Drosophila melanogaster: one gene and its partners. The protein of the gene in region 3 interacts with the protein of the main gene of each other region in a pairwise test. Each region holds a gene or a part of one and is shown on either strand. Other genes may lie near its edges.

Region 1 (5,297 bases), about 18 Mb from region 3:
TTCTTTTCTGCAGATAAGCACAAGCCAACAAAGTAAAGAAAAAACACTTAAGTAACAGGTATCTGATAGTCGACATATATAAGCATATAAGCATATATATATATAACATATAAGCCTCCGCTTCCCATTAAAACCCAAACGGATTCTTTTCACACATAAACTACCCATAATGCTTTTATCAAAACTGTATTTGAGTTTTTGTTATCTATAGTCGTAGTTGAATACACTGTCACCTTACACGATCTTCTAAATCTAATGTAATGGACAATAATCCGACGACCCCTGCTTTGCTTGCTCAGAGCTCCTCGGTAAACGTGTTCCACGATGAATCACTGTTACCTCAGCGTAATGTAAAAACAAGTAAATCCCCCAATAAAAGCTAAGATATTCCGAGGGACTACAGCAATTTGCGATTTCATAGGTGAGAATGTTCCACCAACTTGTGCGGAGAAAACGTTGTTTGTGCTGTCCATGATTCTGATAGTCCTTTGCCTGCCGTGGTCCCTATTCTGCTGTCTCAGGGTAATGTCGGAGTACGAGCGAGCGGTAATCCTGCGCCTGGGTCGCCTGCGCCCTAAGCCCCCGAGGGGGCCAGGCGTCATCTTTCTCGTGCCCTGCATTGATGACCTCGCTGTTGTGGACATACGTACCAGGTCATTTGACCTACATAGACAGGAAATCCTCACTCGTGACATGGTGACGATCAGCATCGACGGAGTGGTGTACTACAGCATCAAGAGCCCATTCGACGCCATGCTGCAAGTATACGATCCGGAGGAGGCGACCGAGAAGCTAGCAATGACCACGCTGCGTAACGTGGCCGGCACCCACAAGCTAATGGATTTGCTCTCGTCCAAGGAGTACCTCTCCAACCAAATAGAGGGTATATTGTACAACTCCACAGAGCCCTGGGGCATACGCGTGGAACGGGTCGAGATGTAAGTACTTTTTGTCTTACAATGGATCAATAATGCGTTATGATATATTCGGCAGCAAGGAGATCTTCATGCCTGATCAACTGAAGCGCGCCCTGGCTGTGGAACAGGAGGCGATGCGTGAGGCCAAGGCCAAGGTGGCCGCGGCGCAGGGGGAGCGAGATGCGGTAACTGCTCTGAAGGAGGCTGCCGACATAATGGAGACCAACCCCATAGCCCTGCAGCTACGGTACTTGCAAACACTGAACTCCATCTGCAATGATGACACCCGGTCCTACGTCTTTCCTTTTCCTGTAGACATTGTGAGGAATTTGATGAAGTAGGATTGAATTCAGAAAATGCGTTCCGTTTTTATGTACGTTCCATATAAAAATTACTTACCTATTAAATAGAATTTAGTTCATCTGAAGAGGGGACCCAATCCGAAACATTTCTCTGGACACACAGTTTCGAAATCGTTTAACACCATATATTAGAAGCATACTACCATCTTACAGTAAATTAAATCGATATTTTCTAGCAGATAAGGGGAAATGCCCCAGTACTTTGCTTTAAATAAGCAAAAAAAAAACCGTAACTTCGATAATTGCTTGCCGGATGTACAAATTTCAGATGCTGTATTTATTTGGTCAAGGTGTATTGTATTGATACAATACTATTTTCAACTCAAGGCTCGTTATTAGCCACAAACTCAAAAGATTACACGTACTATACGACGTCACTGTCGTAGTATTTACTATTTGCTGTTTATATTTCATTTTAAAAAGACCAAATAATGTCCAATATTTGCCCCGGGACTTCGCTGCTGTCAGTTAGAAATCTCCAAAGCTTTTGTCAAAGAAAGCTATTTCATTCGATGTCTAAACCAACTCCCAGAAAAAACTTTGCCGAGTTTAATATGAGCTTTTGGATTTGCAGTTTGTACTTACATATATATTTCAACATATTTTCAATCTAATAACACAAAACCAGTCAGATCGTGCGCTTGAAAAGGAATTCAAATTTATAATCAATAATATAAGTGTGCAAAATTATTCAATGTTATTTTACCTGGGCTTAAAGAAAATCACTCGACTGGATGTCCAACATTAAGCAATCAGCAATCATTTTCTGCGGATGACCTGTGCCCACTTATTATTGATTGTTTTTGGTATTTCTATATTTTAATTATTTAATTCAATCCTAATGTAGGCGCCATAAGCCTTGGCCATGCAAATAGCCGACACACGAAACGCCATGAAATAAAAATTAATGAAGTTTGAAATTTGAACAGGGAAGAGCTGTAAACGAAGTACATTTCTGCGGCGTATCCAAAGAGTGCGCCAAAAAGCCGCGGACTCAGTGTAGATACCATTGCGTAACTCCGTGGGCCAAGACGCTCTTATCTTTTGTCTGCAAGATTAGGTCGGAGAAAAGCACCAGGAGTTGCCGATGCCCACAATTTGCTGATTGCGGGGGCGCCACAGCTCGTGTGAACGGGTGGCTTGCATAATAAGTCGATCATAAGTGTGATGCCGCAGTATTTGCGTACTCGTAACGGATCGGGGAAGAAACGCACGCCACACGGTAATTTGAAGCGATTGTGCTTCATCTTGGCCCGCACTGCCATTTGTGTTTTGATAAATCTCCAGTCATATATCAAATCGTCAGCACCACTTACCTGGCCCAACAGGGCCCCCAATTATGACCCATGCTATGACGGACATTGATTTAAGCATTAGGACTTGCCTTTTTTCGTCAGCTAAATGCTGAAAATATAATACAGAAAATACATATTATGTTATAGATCAAATTGTGCAACTATGTACCAATTACAATTTAATAATTGGGTCATCGGAAACCAAAGCAATTTCTGAAATTCATTAAGACATAGTGAAAAAGCGAAAGTTTTCCAGGTAGACGCCATTTTAAATGAGACTATTGTGTGATCAATGCAAGTTGCGATTCGAGATTTTGCGTTGCAAAGGTTCGTCAATTATGATCGGCCATCAACAGCAACAAATATCCACCATCATGATCACCTCAAAAGCTAGAGAAATGGATGTGCCAAACTAATCTCCACATTTGTATGTGTCCATCGCACAAGACTTCCAACTAGACGACGCTTTCGACTTGGCCCTAAGTTGAAGCTCGAGAGCTTTAGGGTTTTGGGTGAGTTCCCAAAAAGTTACCGTTACCTCAAGGTTGTATGAAAACGCAAGCGAGTTTTCGTGCGGCTTGAGCGTTTGTGGTTTCAGTTTCATTTAAACTTTGCGTTGCGGACACAACTTTTTCGTACCGACATTATCGAGTCAGCGACATAAAAGTCTGGGCGGCTAGTGATTAGCATTTAGTTGAATTTTGATTGCCAAGGGACCGGTGTCTTCAACTCAATCGGAAATGCATTTCTTCATTGTAAGCCCTCTAGTGTCAGCCGAGGTGTCCAAGCACCAATAGTAATGACTTAGTTTTATAGGTGCCGTGCCTCCTAGGACTTGCAGCCGGCATTCCTCAAGGATACAACTACCAAGCCCAGCAACAGCTTCAATCGTCGGCGCAAGCTGGTCAACTCCATCTGCCTTCTATTCCGCAGTTTGCCACCCTTGCGGAGCAGACGATCCTTCAGCAGGCACTCCAGGCTCCAAAGTTGCAGCAGGTCCTGACCGGAGGAGAAGGGCTCGCATCTTACTCAAATCAAAACCAGGCCTCCGCTTACCAACAGCAGGCGACGCAGTTCGGCCCAAATTCGGCGTACAATGCGCTGCCCCAGGCACATCAGCCTCAGCAGCAGCACCTCGTCTCCAAGGACATCTACGTCCATGTGCCACCAGCAGAAGAGCCCGAGGACCGCTACCCTCAGCCCGTCCTTCCGCCCGCGCCTCCGCGCAAGCATTATCGCATAGTTTTCATCAAGGCACCGACGACCAGTGTCTCGAAGGCGGCGTTGCGCATCAAACAGGCTCCTGTGGAGGAGAAGACCATCATCTATGTGCTGACCAAGAAGCCGGACCCACTAGATCTCCAGACTGCCATCGAGGAAATCGCGCCGAAGCAGCCCAGCAAGCCAGAGGTATTTTTCATCAAATACAAGACCCAGGAGGAAGCTGCGCATGCGCAACGTACCATTCAAGGTGAGCAACACCCGCATCGAGCAGATGCTATGAGACACACTTGAAGACCTCATCAGTATGCAACAGACCTCAAATGTTTCGATTTGCAAGCTTCATAGAAATGTCTATCGACCAATTAATCTGGCTTGTCCAAATTTTTATTACCCGATTTTTAACCGATTTACTTCTTTTAGCTCAATATGACCAGCTTGGCGGAACATCACAGGTTTCTGACGAGGGAGTTGCACCCGTTACATCCGTGATTGGCGTACTGGACAACCAGCGCAACAACGGAATTTCATCCGGACAGTTTTCTGGCTCCTTGCCAAACAGCTACTTGCCAACTAATCTGCGTGCTTAGGTACAACTCCAAGGCCACTGTCGTAATTTTAAGACTTGAACTCTTGTAATTTACACATTTAGTTAAATAAAGTTCATATTTTGAGCTCCGCCTTATGATAGAAAGCGACTCTGCAGCCATATTCAAATATGAAATCGAGTTTCAATACTTCAAAGTAACAAAATAGTTTTCTATGGACCATGTTACCACATCCATTAGTCCAATGACAGCCATCCAAGCCGAAAACCGGTCGCATAAATTAGCATGTGATTTGACTTACATAACAACGATTAAGCCACACGAAAACTTGATTATTATGGCTGTTGGCTTAATGCCAAAAGAGATGGTCCAAACTTTCTTGCGAGAAAGAAGTCATTGTCATAGTCTCTTAGCCCATTGAAACATTTTTGTGATAAAAATAAACAGCGTTTTCATAAGAAACATTAAACTCAAGCTATGCCTTAAATGAAAGATTAATTCCAAATCCTAAAACAAAACCTATCTAAAATATTAAAAGGATTAAACTTAAAAACGAGTACTAGAAACAGAAGGCTTTTTGGGTTTCGATTTAAATTTTTTTATATTTCTTTCGACTTTCGACTTTTGCATTAAAAATAAATTAAAATTTACTACAGTATGATGGTTGATATAAAACAATGAAAGCGATAGGATTCTTACTACAACTTTTTAAAAAGTCTTTGCCGGCACATACTTCCTTGATGGCGCCGAGGGAGCGAATGAGGAGGTGGACTTCTGCACAAAGGAGCTCTGCTGCTGGACCCCCTGGACCCCCTGGTTAATAGACTGCAGCTGAACAATGGGCTGACCCTGTGGCTGGATAATGGTTGGCGCCTGAGAGTGGATGATGGTTTGGCCAGCTTGGGAGTGCTGGGGCACAAAGCTGCCCAGGTTAAGGGAGCCACTCGAAACGCT
Region 2 (3,886 bases), 4.8 Mb from region 3:
ATCCGGGCGGCACTCGGTTGCCACCAATACCGTTTAGTTGTTGCTGCGACGATGGCGTGGGCAGTAGCTCGGGTCCGGGGAAACCCAAATTTGGCCTCGGTGGAGAGGTGTGCGGCGTGCCCAAGAAGCCAGGGGGTACTGCAATGAATTGTTAAATGGTGTTATTTTCATATGTCGCAGAAATCTATCAGGGACTTGAAGTTTGTTCCTTAAATGGTTAAATCTGTCTTAAAAATTGTCCCCAAAAATAGATTCGTAAGAAATAAATATTTTTAGGAATTATACTTTTTGTTGGACATGTTTTCTTTTTAAATACTGAGGCCTGTTTTTGTATGCATCAATACTTTTTAGTTTTAATATATAATTACCCTTGTGCTGCGCTTGTTGTGGCGGCTGCTGCTGCGACTGTTGTTTCTGATGATGCTGCTGCTGCAACATCTGTTGCTGCAACATGGTTGGTGTAGGCACCTGCTGCCTGTTACCCAGACTAAAATCATCAAACATTTTGCGTTCCGCCTGTTGCTGGCTCTGCTGCTGTTGTTTCGGAATGGCCTGCTGAATGATCATATTGCGCTCTATATCCTCGAGAGTTGTAATTTTTGGAAAAGGCTGTGGATTCAGTGCAAAGTTGGCATTCGCTTCCTGCGGTGGCTTCATTTGTTGTGGTTGGTGCTGCTGATGTTGCTGCTGCTGTGGCTTGAAGGCGCTGCGCATAGGCTCGCGGAACAAATGTTGGTTGTTGGGAAACGGCTGTGATCCCCAGACCCCGGAGTCCAGCTTAATGCGGTTGCTCAGCCCACCGGCTTCGCTATCAGTGGTGAAAGAGGACAGGTCCATGTCGTCCAACTTCATGGAGGAAATGTTTAGCTCCAAGTCCGAGTCCCCTATGTGACGAGACTGTCGGAAGGGGGCATTCAAAGGGGCCGGAGTGGAGCCGCTTGAAGAGGGCGCCGATGATAGCGGATTAGCGTGTCGCAGGAAGGCACCATTTCCCTGATCGGCAAAATCCGTATTTCCACTAGATTCCGCGGGTCGCTTCCGCACCCTTTCGCCATTCCCGCCCAGGCGTACCATCGTCTCATGGGCTTCCTCCCAGTCGCCATTTATAGCGGATCCAAAGGTTTCGTCATTGAGGGCATCGTATTCCGCCTCGACGATGCGTCCATCGCCACCATCTTCGTCCTGGAGAAACAATTGAAGCAAGTAAATTAGACATTCCTACTTTTTCTGCCCCCGGTGGCCTTCGATGCCCCCTTATTTGCCGAGTGAAAAGTGTGCGTTGGGCATTTGCCGACCCCTGTGCGGCCCGCTATCCCGGATATTGCAGCCGCAATGTCGGGACCGCTGCTTACCGGTAGATTCGTGTCAAAGCCGAAAAACGAGTCATCCATGGCGATAAATCTATTGCTTTACAAAAAATTATCATGACTTGTCAGTGACAAGTTGTCACCTCAGCAGTATAGCTGTCAAAATATCGATGGTACTATCGATAGTCTGACGTCGATGGTTTTCTGACTATCGCCACAATACATCAATTTCGCTCGCATATAAATATTATCATATTACAAATGTTGGAATTAACATGCAAATTTAAAATATATATTTTTTTCATACGTTTTTTTTCAATAGGTGAACGACTGAAGATTTGTCTAAATTTATAAGTTTGCATTTTGCTACAGTGATGTTAGAAAAAAATGATGATTTAACCACTGCCAAATTTCGTATGTTGCATATTTATTTATTCAGTTTGGGACTTACCACGACTGGTTAATAAGTCAACAACATTAGATTTTACTGATCAATGAAAAATCTGCCCTAATTAAGGTGCATTTGCACTCCTTCAATGTATTCGATATTTTGAACTAGTTCGAAACTTGAAATCAGCGCCCGCAAGCTCATCCCTAAATTACTAGTTCTTGAACTATTGCTTTGGACGGAACTACGAGCCTGTTTCCTTTTCCAAAACAACTTAGTCGAAATGAAGCGGAAAACGAGCGAGATCTGGTGCTTTTTCCGGGCGGTGGACGACACGTTTGCGGTGTGTAATATCTGCAAGGCGAAGCTCTCTTACAAGACGACCACCACGAATCTAAGCAAGCACATGAACAGGATGCACCCCACATCGGGACTCAACCGGAACTCCAAGTACAAATTCCAGCCGCAGACCACCATCGCCATCGACCGGAACAAAGCCAAGCCGCGCAACTCAACGCAAGAGCTGATATTGTTAGAATTCGTGAAGAAACATCCGCGTCTGCTTCAGAATCCGACGTGGGAAACACGGGGCAATCTGGAGTCGCTGTGGGAGGAACTGTCATCCGAACTTAATAGCCACGGTCCGCCGCGAAAAGATATAGCCACCTGGAGAAGGGTATTCTAACTTACTTTTTTTCTAACCGCTTGCATTATAAGTTGATTTGTTTGTAGGCCTTAAAGGACTGGAAGAGGTTTATCCTGAGAAAGGTGGAAAAGAATGAGATGCAGAACATGCCTTTTGGCACCAGTCTTACTTCGTCGGAGGAAACAATAGCCACACTGTGTAGATTAAACGAGGATGTAAGTCAGATTATTATGAAGGTCTCCGACGATGAAATGCATGAGAATTCCACCACGGAATTTGATGTGGACGAAGTAGAGGATGTGGTCCCGGAAGAAGATGGTGGCGCCCTTCAGACTTCCGCCGAGTACGTTTACGAACCGGAGGAGAACAAAACGGACATTGACCCGCTTTACCTGCAATCTAACAAACGGGCCGCATTGGCCAGCAGTCGACTGGCGGAGGAGGAGACCACACTGCTTGACAAGATTAGCAATAACCTAGAAATGGTGCACGATACCGCCAACAGCGTTCAACTTGCACTCAATGAATTTTTTGTCCTGTACAAGCAGAAGCTGTACGAGGACAAGCGACATCACTTGGCAATTGAACAGTTAATGGCTGAGAAAATAGAACTGAAAAAGAAACTATTGGAAATCGAGCAAAAAAAGCTGTCGCTCAAATAACGGGATATGCACAAAATTAAGTAATATCTTGGTAGTCTTAATAACCTAATCTTTAAATAATCTAAGTTATTCAATATTTTGATTAATTTTATCACATTTCTTTTAGCTTGGCCCAAGCCCACTTAATATACAAATTTAATTTAATTTTTTTGGTTTTATTTTATAAATATTTAGATAATATGGCGTTGTTCATCATAGACTTGCTTTAGAATCTCTTTAAATTCCAGGGGATAAGATGCGTCGTCCATAACAGCATCGTAAACATACTCTAAATTCTGTGGGAAAGATGGTTGAATAAAAAAACAAAGCAAAGTATTAGGCACATCACTTACTGATTTGGATTCATCTGAGGAGGAAGTCTTGCCCTCTTCGGGATCACTCAACCCATTTAAGTCTCCACAGGCTATAAAAGGAACTAGACGACGGTTTACTTCCGACCCTGTTTTCTGTGCCAGTAGCCGTATATCATCGCGAGCAGGGTTAATCACTTGAGGAATGTAGCCCTCGGGAAGGCAAAAATCGGAGCAAACCACAAAAGCTTCAATGCTCGAAGGACGCGAACTCGGTGGCTTGTAGATGTCGAATTTTTTGAAAAATATCTGCATCTGGGAGCTCAATAGCGATGTGGCATTTCCCTTAAAAATCTTGGCCACAAAAGTTCCGCCAGTTTCCAGCACACAGGTGGCAATGCTGAGAGCAGCCACAAGTAACTGGTGCTGCATGTACTCGTCCATTTCATGGACCCCGGTGACATCGGGGGCTCCATCGCAGACCACCAGCTGGGCTTTTTCATTTCCACCAAAGTGACCGATGATTGCTTCGGCGGTCGACTGCTTTGTGATATCTCCCTGGAGCTGGAGTATTCCACGGATCGGGGCCATGG
Region 3 (4,533 bases):
TCGGGCAATCCGAACGCTTTTCTAAGCCATAGATGGCCAGTTATCATGTAAATTCAAAGTGTTATTTATACAGCTCTTGTGCGAGTCACACAGTGGGTTTGGTTTTTGGTGATAAGCCATGGGTTTCAAGCGAACCCATCGATAGCCGGAGCTTATCGGGTGGTGGTGGCTTATCAAACGGCCCATAAATGGAGCAGAAGCCACCGGCTGCTCGACGCCGGAACTCCGCGATACCAACAAATGGCGTCTATAGATTGCTACAAATGGCGACAACAATGCCACCAATTTGACCAGCAGCTCCAATGCTCGCCATGCTCGAAATGCGCAACAAATCCAAATTAATTCCCAATGGGCCGGTCAACAAAAGCCCCCCAGCCAGACCACTTGATAACTTCCCGATGGGCATGTGAAACTGATTAATGTGGCATTATAAATAGGACTCAAGTATGTGGTTGGGTCTTAATCGAAATTAGCTTACTTTGGGTAAAAATAAATTTATGGTATTTACGATAAATAAACAAATGCGCTTATTACTCGAACTGATTTACTTTGTGATCGAGAAACAAATGGAAACATGTTCCCTTTGCATTTAGTTTACTATCACCATTTAATTCAGTATAAATTTATCGAGTTATTGGTCTTAAAGCCAAGGATATAAAGTTTTAGGTTTTGGTTCAGAATCAGGACGATATGGACGACTTGAACGATGTCATCGCAAATTTGAGCATTAAATCCAAGAACTTTATAGATGAGGCTGCAAAATCATTAACCCCAACAATGGTGGGATTCAAAAGAGAACCTGAGCGAAATCAAAACTGTACCTACTTTATGCAGAATACCTGCCAGCTTTATCAAAACATTTCTAAATCCCATCCCAAGATTGAAAACAGTGTTAAATTCGATGAAGATTTTGTGATGCATATGGAACCTGAGATCAAGGTGGAATGCTCTGTTGATGATCCCAATAAAGAAGTTCAAATTTTGCTGTATGATCCTAAATCATTTACGTATAATATTTACATGAACATTTTTTTTTAACACAGAAAAAAGGAACGCTTGAAGCAGAAATATATGGAAGCTTTGAAGCTGGATGAAAACCTTGAAGCTAGAGTGAAACAATCGGCCATTGAATCCAATCCCGATATGGAGGAACAACAAGCTGAATTGTGAGATCATAACTTTATTTATGATAGCATTTACTTAACTTTATTGGCATTTATAGAAGAAAACTTCACAAGGATCAAGTGGAAATGTACAAAGGTGTGCAGGAAGAAATTATGGTTTCCTTCAAGAGAGACATGGATGATCTAATGCAACAGTATGAAGCTGAGTACTCGCGACTTAGTAAGGTCCACTCTAAGTGGGTAAATTCCGAGAATGATTCCACCAATAACTCAAACACTCATCAGCCTTAGTCATCGCTTAGGAATTTTTAAGATTTTAGCATTTTATTAGTGAAATCAAAACGTATTTATGTAGTTTCTTGGGTTTTAACATTTGACAATAAAAAATATTCAGTATATCAAATATTTTGTTTATTTTATACAGCTTTTTTATCACTTTTCCTTTGGCTTCAGCTCACTTAGTTCCGTCGCGCTCGGCCAGCAGATCCAGCATCACCTCGATCTTAAGATTACACATATTGTTCTCCTCCTCGAGGGCACGAAACTTCTTGTTCAGCCGGAGCATATCATCTACGTCACCCTTTCGGGTCGAATGCATCCAGATGCCGTCCGCAAAACGCAGCTCCTTGTTGCCCAGCGTTAGGGAAATCTGGCGGAAGTCATCCAGATCCTCGGTGGCCACCGGATGTCCTATATTGCAACGTCCCTGACGCACTGGAATCGGCTTCGACTCGAACTTCTTGTTGAAGAGCGGCATTGCAAACAACTGAAACGGAAAGTTGACCACATTTCGATTACATCCCCATTTGTTTGCCACTGCCCCGTTGCCCAGGACAACAGACACTTGTCAGGGGATCAGCGTTCGCGGCAGGACTCGTGCCAGGTTTTTAATGGCTAGTAAGACCGTATCCATATGTACCTGCTTGAAGGGTAGCGGCTGGCTGTCAGAGATTGACGAGGGGCAGCAAAAGGTTGCCAGTTGCATAAAATCGGTGAAATACAGAGAACTCCTTGCTGCACGCGGGGATACGGATGGATTTCTAAGCCAAACTGCCTTCAACAGGATTTTAAATGCCTGATAATTTAAAAGACAAAGCTTGCTTCATCGCAGAAACTCGTCTCATGTCAAACATAAACATTTTGTTTGGTTCATTGATGAAATTCTATACAAACACACAATAAACCCGATACACAACTCTGCTGTGAAAAATAATATGATTCCAAACACACAACAAATATGACACAACACGAAAATCAGCAAGCCATTCTCAGGTAGGAGAGCAAAGGAAAATTTGTCAACTAAAGTTAGTCAACGCGCAGCCAATTCACCATTTAGCAACTTTGTGCTGGAAATGTGTGAAGGAGTGGATCGACTGATGCGGGATCAGGCCGAACTGAAGGTTCACCTCAACGAAATTCTAAATGAGAACCGCCGGCTGGACATCGAATTGGCCAAATGCAGGAGCATCTTGGTTAGCGGCGATTACCAGGAGCTCAAGCATCGCCTTCAACTCAGCAACAAGGCTTTGGACGCGTCCAAGAAGCAGGTGGATGAGCTTATCAAGGAACGGAACAGCCTGAAAACCATGCATGACCTCTCCAAACAGACCATCGAAACCATGGAGATGGATCTTAAGAATTATCGCGTCCAATTGAAAATGTCTGGAGATGACCAGGTATTATTGCACTTCATCATTCCAATCCCGTATTGATTATCATATTATAGTAAGCTTTGACCAAATCGTATGTTTTAGGGACCAGAGACTAATGGAAAAATCCTAAAGTAAACTTCAACGTTTTCGGAATTCAATTTTAGGTCATACAGCGGTACTCGAAGATCGTCAAAGTGCTGGAGGCAAAAGTTGAGGACCAGCAGAAGGAGATACGCACGCAGGCGGAGACCATAAAGGCCCTGCACGATCACAAGCAGCACAGCGGATTGCAACTCCAGCAGCTGCATGCTCAACTGCAGGATAGCGAGCAGAGTCAATCCAAGGTGTCCATCCTGCAGAAGCAGCTTAAGGAGTACGAACTATCGCTGAGCCACACCCACAATTTGCTCATGGAGAGCACAAGACGGGAAACCGCCGCCATGCGCAAGCTCGAGGAGGCTATCATACTCAGCGAAGAGGCAAACAAGGAGAAAATAGATGCCACAAAGCTGGCCGAGACCTACAAGGAGGAGATGACCCACCTAGCCTCCAATATCGGTACCATAATGGATGAGGCCTCCACACGCGTCGACGTTGAAGTGGGCCATCTGAAGAATATGCTCAAGCAAAAGGACATTATAATTACCACCATAAAGGAGAAGGTAAAAGTCTATATTCGTATAATAATTATCACTTATAGTTACACTTACAAATTTTAGCTGAAAAAACTGGCTGTCGATCATAAGTCGGTGGTGCACATGCTGGAGACCCGGAGCAATCGCCTGGAGCAAAAGTACAAGGAGGTGCTGAAGCAGAACGATAAGCTGGAGGCCGAGTTGGAGGCAACTTGCCGGCGACTTGGCGAACTGGAGCGATCCGTTACTGAAGCTTACGGTGGGGATGCCGAAGATGCCAGGATGTGAGTATACAACATAGACAATTAATGACAAACATGATTATAAATCATAACGCTTTTAGAAAAATGTACTATAAGTCTCAAATGGATCGCTGCATAATGGATCACAAGAAAATGAAGGAGAAATACCGCGAGGGCATGGAGGACATCACGCAACGCTTCGAATCGGAAATTTACAAGTTAAGGGAGGAGAACTCCGTGCTGCTGGCGGAAAACGAACTGCTTAAGAGCGGTGCCGCAGGCGATAGCTCCAAGCAGACTTCACGCTGATTTTACGGTTGTACAAATATATATTTTATGATAACTCTCGTACATAATAAATTAGTTCTACGAGATCACACTATGTGGCGGCCGTTGTCTGTGCGTTTCGACCGGGAAACAAACTGGGAAACCAATAGGCTGGCTCATCGCCCGCCTGCTTGTCAATCCAACAGAGACCTTCGCCGAGCACCTTGTCCAGTGACTGTTGAGCACGATAGTCGGTCCAGCTGAGAACGGATAACACGGAAATCAAAGGGATATTCAGTTGAAAGTACAAGTGAAATTCTTACCCCAAATCCTTGATCAGCTGACTCTGCGTAACACAGCCTTGTTCGGTATTGGATGCGGCATTCAGTATGTTGGTCTCCTCCATGCTCAGCTCTCCGGGAATGGACTGAACTATGTACTTGCCCTTGCCCAGCTTGTGAACCACAAAGCTGAAGGTACGTTATGGAAAACGAGAAACTTGTGATATTGAATGCAAGCAGAGGTAATGACCCATACCCGTTGCCAAAAATGCTCAATTTCTTAGCGGCCATTAGGATGTCCTCCTTGGTGATCTCCTGGTGCACTGAACTCT
Region 4 (6,396 bases), 5.8 Mb from region 3:
GTTGAAATAAGTATCTAATTATTATTTCCTTTCAAGAAACTTGCTTAGGACTATTTTTCCCCAGTGCAGCTGTGATTCCAGCGCTACTGCTCTGGCTGCTAAGCCTCAAGCAGCACTTTCGCATCCTGGCTTGTGTGTGCTCCTGTGGCCGTTGGGCCTGCTCCTCATACTGGGCCACATATGCACATTGTCATTGCCAAGTAGCACTAATATTATTTACTTTTCGTTAGGTTGTGTTGTGCCAGCTCAATAGATAAACACGTGTCGCCATCAGCCATTTCCCGCAAGGATTGGGGTTTGGGATCCCACTTAATGCCTATGGCTCCTCCTGTCATTCGGTGGAGCTGGAGCTGGCCGGGGGCAACAATTATGCCGAATTAAGTGCTGAAACTTTGGCTGCATTCTCAATAAGCCAAACTTTTACCGGAACGCACAGAACGGAAAATTATAAAACGTTAAAATTGAAAAATCATGCGCCAGTGAGGAGCAACCAGAAGCCAATATCCAGATGGTGCCCACGGCCAGCAGACGAGGCCGAGTATAATTGAAAAATATAAAGTATCGCCGCAATCTGATTAAAATTACATTTAAATAATAACAACAAAAACAAGGCGGCCAACCTGGGGGCGGGACGAGGGCAGCGGCGAATATTCTGTGATGTGCGTCAGGCACGAAACTTGCAATTACAGTTTGTAACGCGGTGGCAGGTAAAAAACTTTACAAAACTTTCCAATTGCTTTTCATTGAATTGTTATCGATAGTGAAGAGAATGGAAAAAACGCAAGGAAAAATGGGCAAGGCAAAAATAGAGAAAAATGAACAAATATACCTGGTTGAAGGCTCGAGGTAAGAAATTCTTCAAAGGACTCGCCAAATCCGTAGCGTACTGTACAGCGTTCTTTAAGTTCCATGTGCCACACTTCAATCACTTTAAATTGGCATTTAAAGCAAGCTTTACTTATTTTTCGCTGTCATCGCTTGGTGATATATTTATACAGTTTGATTTTACATAATATGGTTAGCTTAAAGGCTAAGGCTTTGATTTTTGATGGGCATGATATACATATTAACAGATGTACGTAATGCTTTTGAACTGAATGCTTGCGATGGTGCGTGATAGCAGCTCAACTGATTTTGTTGCGCAGATAATACTTGATGAGCTGAATGCACACCTCAGCATCCTCGGCACTGTCGTGGCCAGCCTCTGTGGAAGAAGGAAATATAATAATTATAATAAACTTCTTACGTCAAGTGATAAAGTAAAAGACTAGACACACTCACCGCTCTCCTGTATAATCCGCTTTAGGTTTTCAATGCACAGTGTTTTCAGAGCTCGCTTCTTTGGCGGTCCCATCTTGTGGGGAAACAGCACCGATGTGTCCACCACAACGTCGTGAATGAGTTTGAGTGCCTTCAAATCGCTCTCCAGACTGTGGCCAACGAGCACGGTTTTGGCATGGAACATGGACATCAGCACCGCCTGAACGTCGCGTATGGTACGCGTCTCATTGGAGAGCATCGCCTCCGTGATGCCCGAGTAGCTGAAGTCAGAGTATTGCAGATTAATACGAAACAACCGAAAAGCTACATTCACCCACGTCGTATTGTAGTCCACAATCTGGTTGTCCGGCTTGACAAGAGCATCGTAAACGCTGCGTCCATTTATGTCCACCACCGTAACGCGGGTTAGCTCTATTCCGTGTGTGGTATAACACATCTCGCAATCCAGTGCATATATGTCCTTCTTAGTGGGCACAAATTCCTCACCCCGTTCGATCGTCTTCACGAAACAGGTGAGCTTTTCCGGATCGTAATAGTCGCTGACGTGGTAGTTGGCATAGGTGCAGCCTGGAGTGCCCGCCGGCTGCTGGCAGCAGCGATGCTGGTGGTCCGTGAATCCTCGTCGATATCCCGTGCTTTTCGGATGGTAGTTGCACATGTCAAAGCTCTGGTGCTCGTATATGTCCAAGCTGAATACCTTGCCGCAGCGGGAACAGTAGCGCTCTTTCTGGTTGGGACGACGGTTGGGGCGGCAGGCGCGTATCACTGCGGATCCGCGCTTATCGCCCGGACGCGGATATCCGTTCTCCACCAGCTGCTCTTCAGTCAGGCGAAGATCGAATACCATTTTGTAAGCTTTCTCGGCGTCTAAAGCATCGAAAGGTTCGCCATTGCCCAAGGAGCTCAGTTTTCTGCAATAGATATATATTTAATGTTTGTTAGGGTAAAGATATCAAAAACTTTTTATATGCAATTGAAATGTTAGAAATACGTACAAATGTCATAAAAGTTAACATTCATGACTTCCAGGAAGAAATGTGAAGTCATAAAGAGAAATTATGCTTATGTTTACGTTTATGCTTGTGGCCAGTGGCAGTATTTACAATTAAGCGAATTTCATCTTATAATGTGCACATAGAGAATAACTATAGTTTAGTATACAAACCCACCCCTTTTTCTCTACGCTCCAGGATGTGGTGAGCGCCCGCTTGCCGCCCAGCATCATCTCGTGCGACACAGTCTTGCAGGCTACGCTCGGCTTGTTTCCCGCCTCTAAGGCCTCCTTGCGGAGCTTGTTAATCGCCAGCATGCAGCTGTTCTTGTAGATGGCAGGCGTGTTGCACTTCTTAAAGACGGTCAACTCCTCCACCTGGGCGCGCTCCCAGGCATCTGCCAGCTGCGGATAGATGACGGTGCAGTGCCTTACCATCATCTCATAATACTGAATGCGCACGTTGTATGATATCTTGGAGCTGCTGGGATCTAGGACGGTTGGCTTCTCCGCGTTGGACACAGGAGCCGCTTTGTCTAGCGCAGCAGTGGGCTTGTGAGCCACACGGCCGGCGCCCTTGAATGATTGTGCAGGCGTAAAGGCTGGCTTCTTCTCGGCCTGCAGCTCCTCGATCTTTTTTTTGGCCCGAGCGATGGCCACAATGTTGGCCACAGGTGCTATGCTGCGAGCTGGTAACCAAAAATATTTGAATTTGAATTATTATATATTCCAAAGTGGTATGCTCACCTGATCGCACTGGTGGGGTCAGAGCACTTCGCGAAATAAGTGGCGTGAGGTTGGAGTTGACCTTGGCCTGACGGAGCTCCTCCTGCGCTTGGCGCACCCGCTCCTGTGCCTGACGTACCTGCTCCGCTGAGGCTTCGGCTTGTAGCTTCTCCTGGCGCCGCAGCTCCGCGCGGCGGTTGAAGATCGCCTGCATGGCATTACGGACGTGATTGGGTTTGCGCATCGCCGCCGAAGGAGCCAAATGAGGCGTGATCTTGTCAGCATTCTCGTGGGCCACCCGGCGCTTCTGCAGAGCCGCCGTGGCTGCCTCGGTGAAGGTATCAATGTCCGGAGAAGGAGCTTTGCGCTTGCGAGAACTCTCCGGGTTGGCATTGCCGCCTTCGTCCTTGTGCATCTGCGCAAATTTTTTTTCCATCTCGTCAAAAATCATTTCACACTGGCGTACAATTTCTCCTTCCGAGGTGTCTGCTTCAAAATCAAAGTCCATGTCATCCAGATCATCCATAGGTTCTGCTGGTGTCAGTACAGCTGCTTCAGTATCCTTATCCGCCTCCGGTTCGCTCTTTGAAGTGCCAGCGCTTTTGCTGGAAGACGAGCTCCTCTTAGTTTTGGACCGTGAACTCGAGGAACTAGATTTGTGATGATGGCTCTTCGAGGAGGATGATGAAGAACTGCTCTTGTGCCTGCTACTGGAACTTTTGTCGTCGCGGTGCTTATCGCTGCTGGATGACTTTTTGCTGGAAGAGGAGCTAGATGAAGACTTGTGCTTAGAGGAACTTGAGCTTGAAGTATTTCGCTCCTTGGAGCGCTCCTTGTCGCTGTGGGAGGACTTTCGCTTATCCCTATCATTTTTTTCCTTCTCTCTGTCCCTTTCCTTGCTCTTCTCTTTGTCTTTTTCCCGGTCCCGGTCCCGGTCCCGATCCCTGTCTTTGATCTTTTCCCTTTTCAGCTCTCTGATCTTCTTCTTTTCTATATCCCTTTCCCGCTCCTTGCTGGGCTTTCGATCCTTTTCGTGGCTATCCCTAGCATCCGTCAGTTGCGTATTCTCCTGGTCCTCCTCGTTTTCAGCTACCGTATCTATCTTCTGTTCTTCGTCGTTATTCTGGACTTGCTCCTCAATCTCCACCTGCATCTGCTCATCAATTTCCTTTTCGAGTACCGCCTGCCAATCGTCATATTCTTCGCCATTTGTAACAGATGGCTGGCCGGGCACATATTTGGGAGCACTGTCCACGGACGCCTCCTGCTTCTTCTTAGCCGGCGATGCGTCAAGAGCCGGCTTCTCCGGGTGGTACTCCAGATTGGACTTCTTCCGGGGCGCACATAGCGTGATCTGGGGCAGTGGAAGGGAGAGCAACTTGGGTGCCGGCTTGTACTTGGGCACGGGGGAAGGTTCTGCAGGTGGAGCGGCCTCCAATTCGTCTGTAAACCGAGAGTGGATAGAATTTGTTGCGAAATTAACTGGACGTAATTCACTCACCTTTGCGAGCATGCTTAAAGTGGCAAAAGGGGCGCTTGCAGGACGCCGCATCCTGGCCGTCAAAGTAAGGGCACAAGAAGCCCTTAAAGAGACCCGTGGATGGCAGCATTTCCACCTCTTGCTGGGATTAGAAATTTAATAAAGCCGCTTGAGAAAACAAGCGTCCCAAATTTCTTTCTATTCTTTCTGCCTGTCTCTTTCACTCATTTCGACAGATGTCAGCTGTTTCAGCTGCTGGCGGCGTTGCCAGATAGGCGTCAGCATGGATGCTATGAATGGATGCTAAGGAATTAAATTAAATAAATTTAAATAAGTTTTAAATATTTACAAAACATTGAATGACCTATTTAATTAATAATTGTAAACAATATTCGCATTTTGTTAACGGTTACAATGTACGTTTATGGCAGTTGATTGCATCAATCCGGGAGGATTATATCTTGCGGTACGATGTACAATGCTATGCGATGTTAATAAGAATAAGATGTACGTAATAAGAATGTGGTGACTAACGGTATAAACAAATGGTGTAAAAAGTCTGGCAACTCCTGCAAACAGCTGTTTGCTGTGCCAATTTCCTATAGGGTCTTCGCCGCTTGTAAACAAAAACGCAGCAGTATAATAATAAAAATAATTGTTTAACCTATAAAATTGTTTGCTTATCTAGCCTAATGAACTTGATAGCTGCGGAACCGTTTTAATTTCGATCGAGTGCATCGCAAACTGAAGTTCGGGCGCGACATTCAACTGCCGCCTCATCGAAGGTTTGTGTGGGTGTGTCTGCTGGAATATGTTATTAAAAAAGAAATTCATATAGAAATTCAAATGAAACCGGCCATTATCGGTGGCCGACTGTCTGCAATAGCAATGATTAGGGTGATATATTATCGCACTGAGTCAGTGGACGCGGGTGGCGGATCCCACGGTGCGATAATTCAAGTGCTCCCCCTCCGGCAAGGTTTGCTGTGATATGGAACCAACCTATGGATTCAGTCGTATAACGGCAGTCTGGCGCTTCAGTTGTCTCCGGCAAAAGTGAATTCCCCATCGAGTACAAAGGTCAGTGGGCTAGAAATTCGCCTATGATTTCACCAGTGCGCCGGGAGTATAAATATTTATAAAGCTCCCCAATCCGGACTTTGTCCAGCTTGAGGAGATTAGTGAAGATAGTCGTCTAGCTGCAGTCCAAGAAAGATTACGTTCAACTTGACGCATAATCCGCTTAGTTGCACATTAAGTGTTCTTAGTTGTGTGGTATTAATTTGCACACCATTTTAATGTTTAACCTATAAGATGAGATCAATTTATTTCCGATGTGAATGTACTCAGTAATGTATTGGGTGAACTTTGGACCTGACGAACGTAAAAGCGATTCCCGATATGATTATTGTACTAATCTGACTTAGGCCTATAGAAAACCACCACACGCGCAGACTGATATCAACGATTCCAACGTGTCCCCCGCAGCTAAACCACCATGGACCGGGCTAGTCTATATTTTATGAGCAAGGATGATAAGAACACCTTCGACTTCGACGAGACCTTACCTTCGCTCCCGCTGCCGGAGCTTAGGGACACCATGGAGCGCTACTACAGCTGCATCCAGCCATTCGGGACCAAGGAGGAGTTGGCCCAGGCCCGCAAGACTATTGATGAGTTCCAAAACGGAGTGGGAGCCCAGCTGCACGAACAGCTCAAGAAGCGGGCGGCCGGCATGAGGAACTGGCTGGGCACCTGGTGGGAGGACTACGGATATCACCTGATTCGGATGCCGCTGCTGCCCTACCAGCTCATGGTCATGCCCTCGCAATTGGAAATGGTGGGCGTGCCGGAGACACCGGAGTACATGCTGAAGGTGAGTGGACCCACACCCCAAGCTCTATAAGAACACAAAGTT

The links.
Region 1: the proteins of CG6569 (region 3) and TwdlG interact in a two-hybrid assay, tested with the Drosophila melanogaster proteins (one large-scale study listed by BioGRID).
Region 2: the proteins of CG6569 (region 3) and bdwf interact in a two-hybrid assay, tested with the Drosophila melanogaster proteins (one large-scale study listed by BioGRID).
Region 4: the proteins of CG6569 (region 3) and CG12877 interact in a two-hybrid assay, tested with the Drosophila melanogaster proteins (one large-scale study listed by BioGRID).

What each region holds. Positions count from the first base shown.
Region 1 is NT_033777.3:4,247,939-4,253,235, reverse strand, and holds TwdlG (TweedleG), read left to right. Parts: upstream 1-1,894; 5' UTR 1,895-2,501; intron 2,502-2,721; 5' UTR 2,722-3,314; coding exon 3,315-3,329; intron 3,330-3,390; coding exon 3,391-4,045; intron 4,046-4,218; coding exon 4,219-4,385; 3' UTR 4,386-4,513; downstream 4,514-5,297. Other genes in the region: CG14644 (uncharacterized protein), read left to right, coding at 261-360, 422-938, 994-1,258; TwdlF (TweedleF), read right to left, coding at 5,052-5,297.
Region 2 is NT_033777.3:17,041,155-17,045,040, reverse strand, and holds bdwf (bedwarfed), read left to right. Parts: upstream 1-1,904; 5' UTR 1,905-1,978; coding exon 1,979-2,371; intron 2,372-2,427; coding exon 2,428-3,003; 3' UTR 3,004-3,145; downstream 3,146-3,886. Other genes in the region: Patr-1 (protein associated with topo II related - 1), read right to left, coding at 1-138, 369-1,182, 1,353-1,391; Trm7-32 (tRNA methyltransferase 7-32), read right to left, coding at 3,174-3,278, 3,336-3,886.
Region 3 is NT_033777.3:21,865,672-21,870,204, reverse strand, and holds CG6569 (uncharacterized protein), read left to right. Parts: upstream 1-2,285; 5' UTR 2,286-2,361; coding exon 2,362-2,396; exon of another isoform or gene 2,397-2,460; coding exon 2,461-2,800; intron 2,801-2,850; coding exon of another isoform or gene 2,851-2,853; exon of another isoform or gene 2,854-2,878; coding exon of another isoform or gene 2,879-2,911; exon of another isoform or gene 2,912-2,940; coding exon 2,941-3,438; intron 3,439-3,495; coding exon 3,496-3,695; intron 3,696-3,754; coding exon 3,755-3,962; 3' UTR 3,963-4,032; downstream 4,033-4,533. Other genes in the region: CG31174 (uncharacterized protein), read left to right, coding at 691-986, 1,044-1,166, 1,223-1,415; lsn (larsen), read right to left, coding at 4,033-4,180, 4,244-4,390, 4,458-4,533.
Region 4 is NT_033777.3:27,705,422-27,711,817, reverse strand, and holds CG12877 (uncharacterized protein), read right to left. Parts: upstream 4,719-6,396; 5' UTR 4,609-4,718; coding exon 4,500-4,608; intron 4,442-4,499; coding exon 3,020-4,441; intron 2,962-3,019; coding exon 2,451-2,961; intron 2,193-2,450; coding exon 1,599-2,192; intron 1,542-1,598; coding exon 1,282-1,541; intron 1,205-1,281; coding exon 1,125-1,204; 3' UTR 961-1,124; downstream 1-960. Other genes in the region: CROT (carnitine O-octanoyltransferase), read left to right, coding at 5,977-6,354.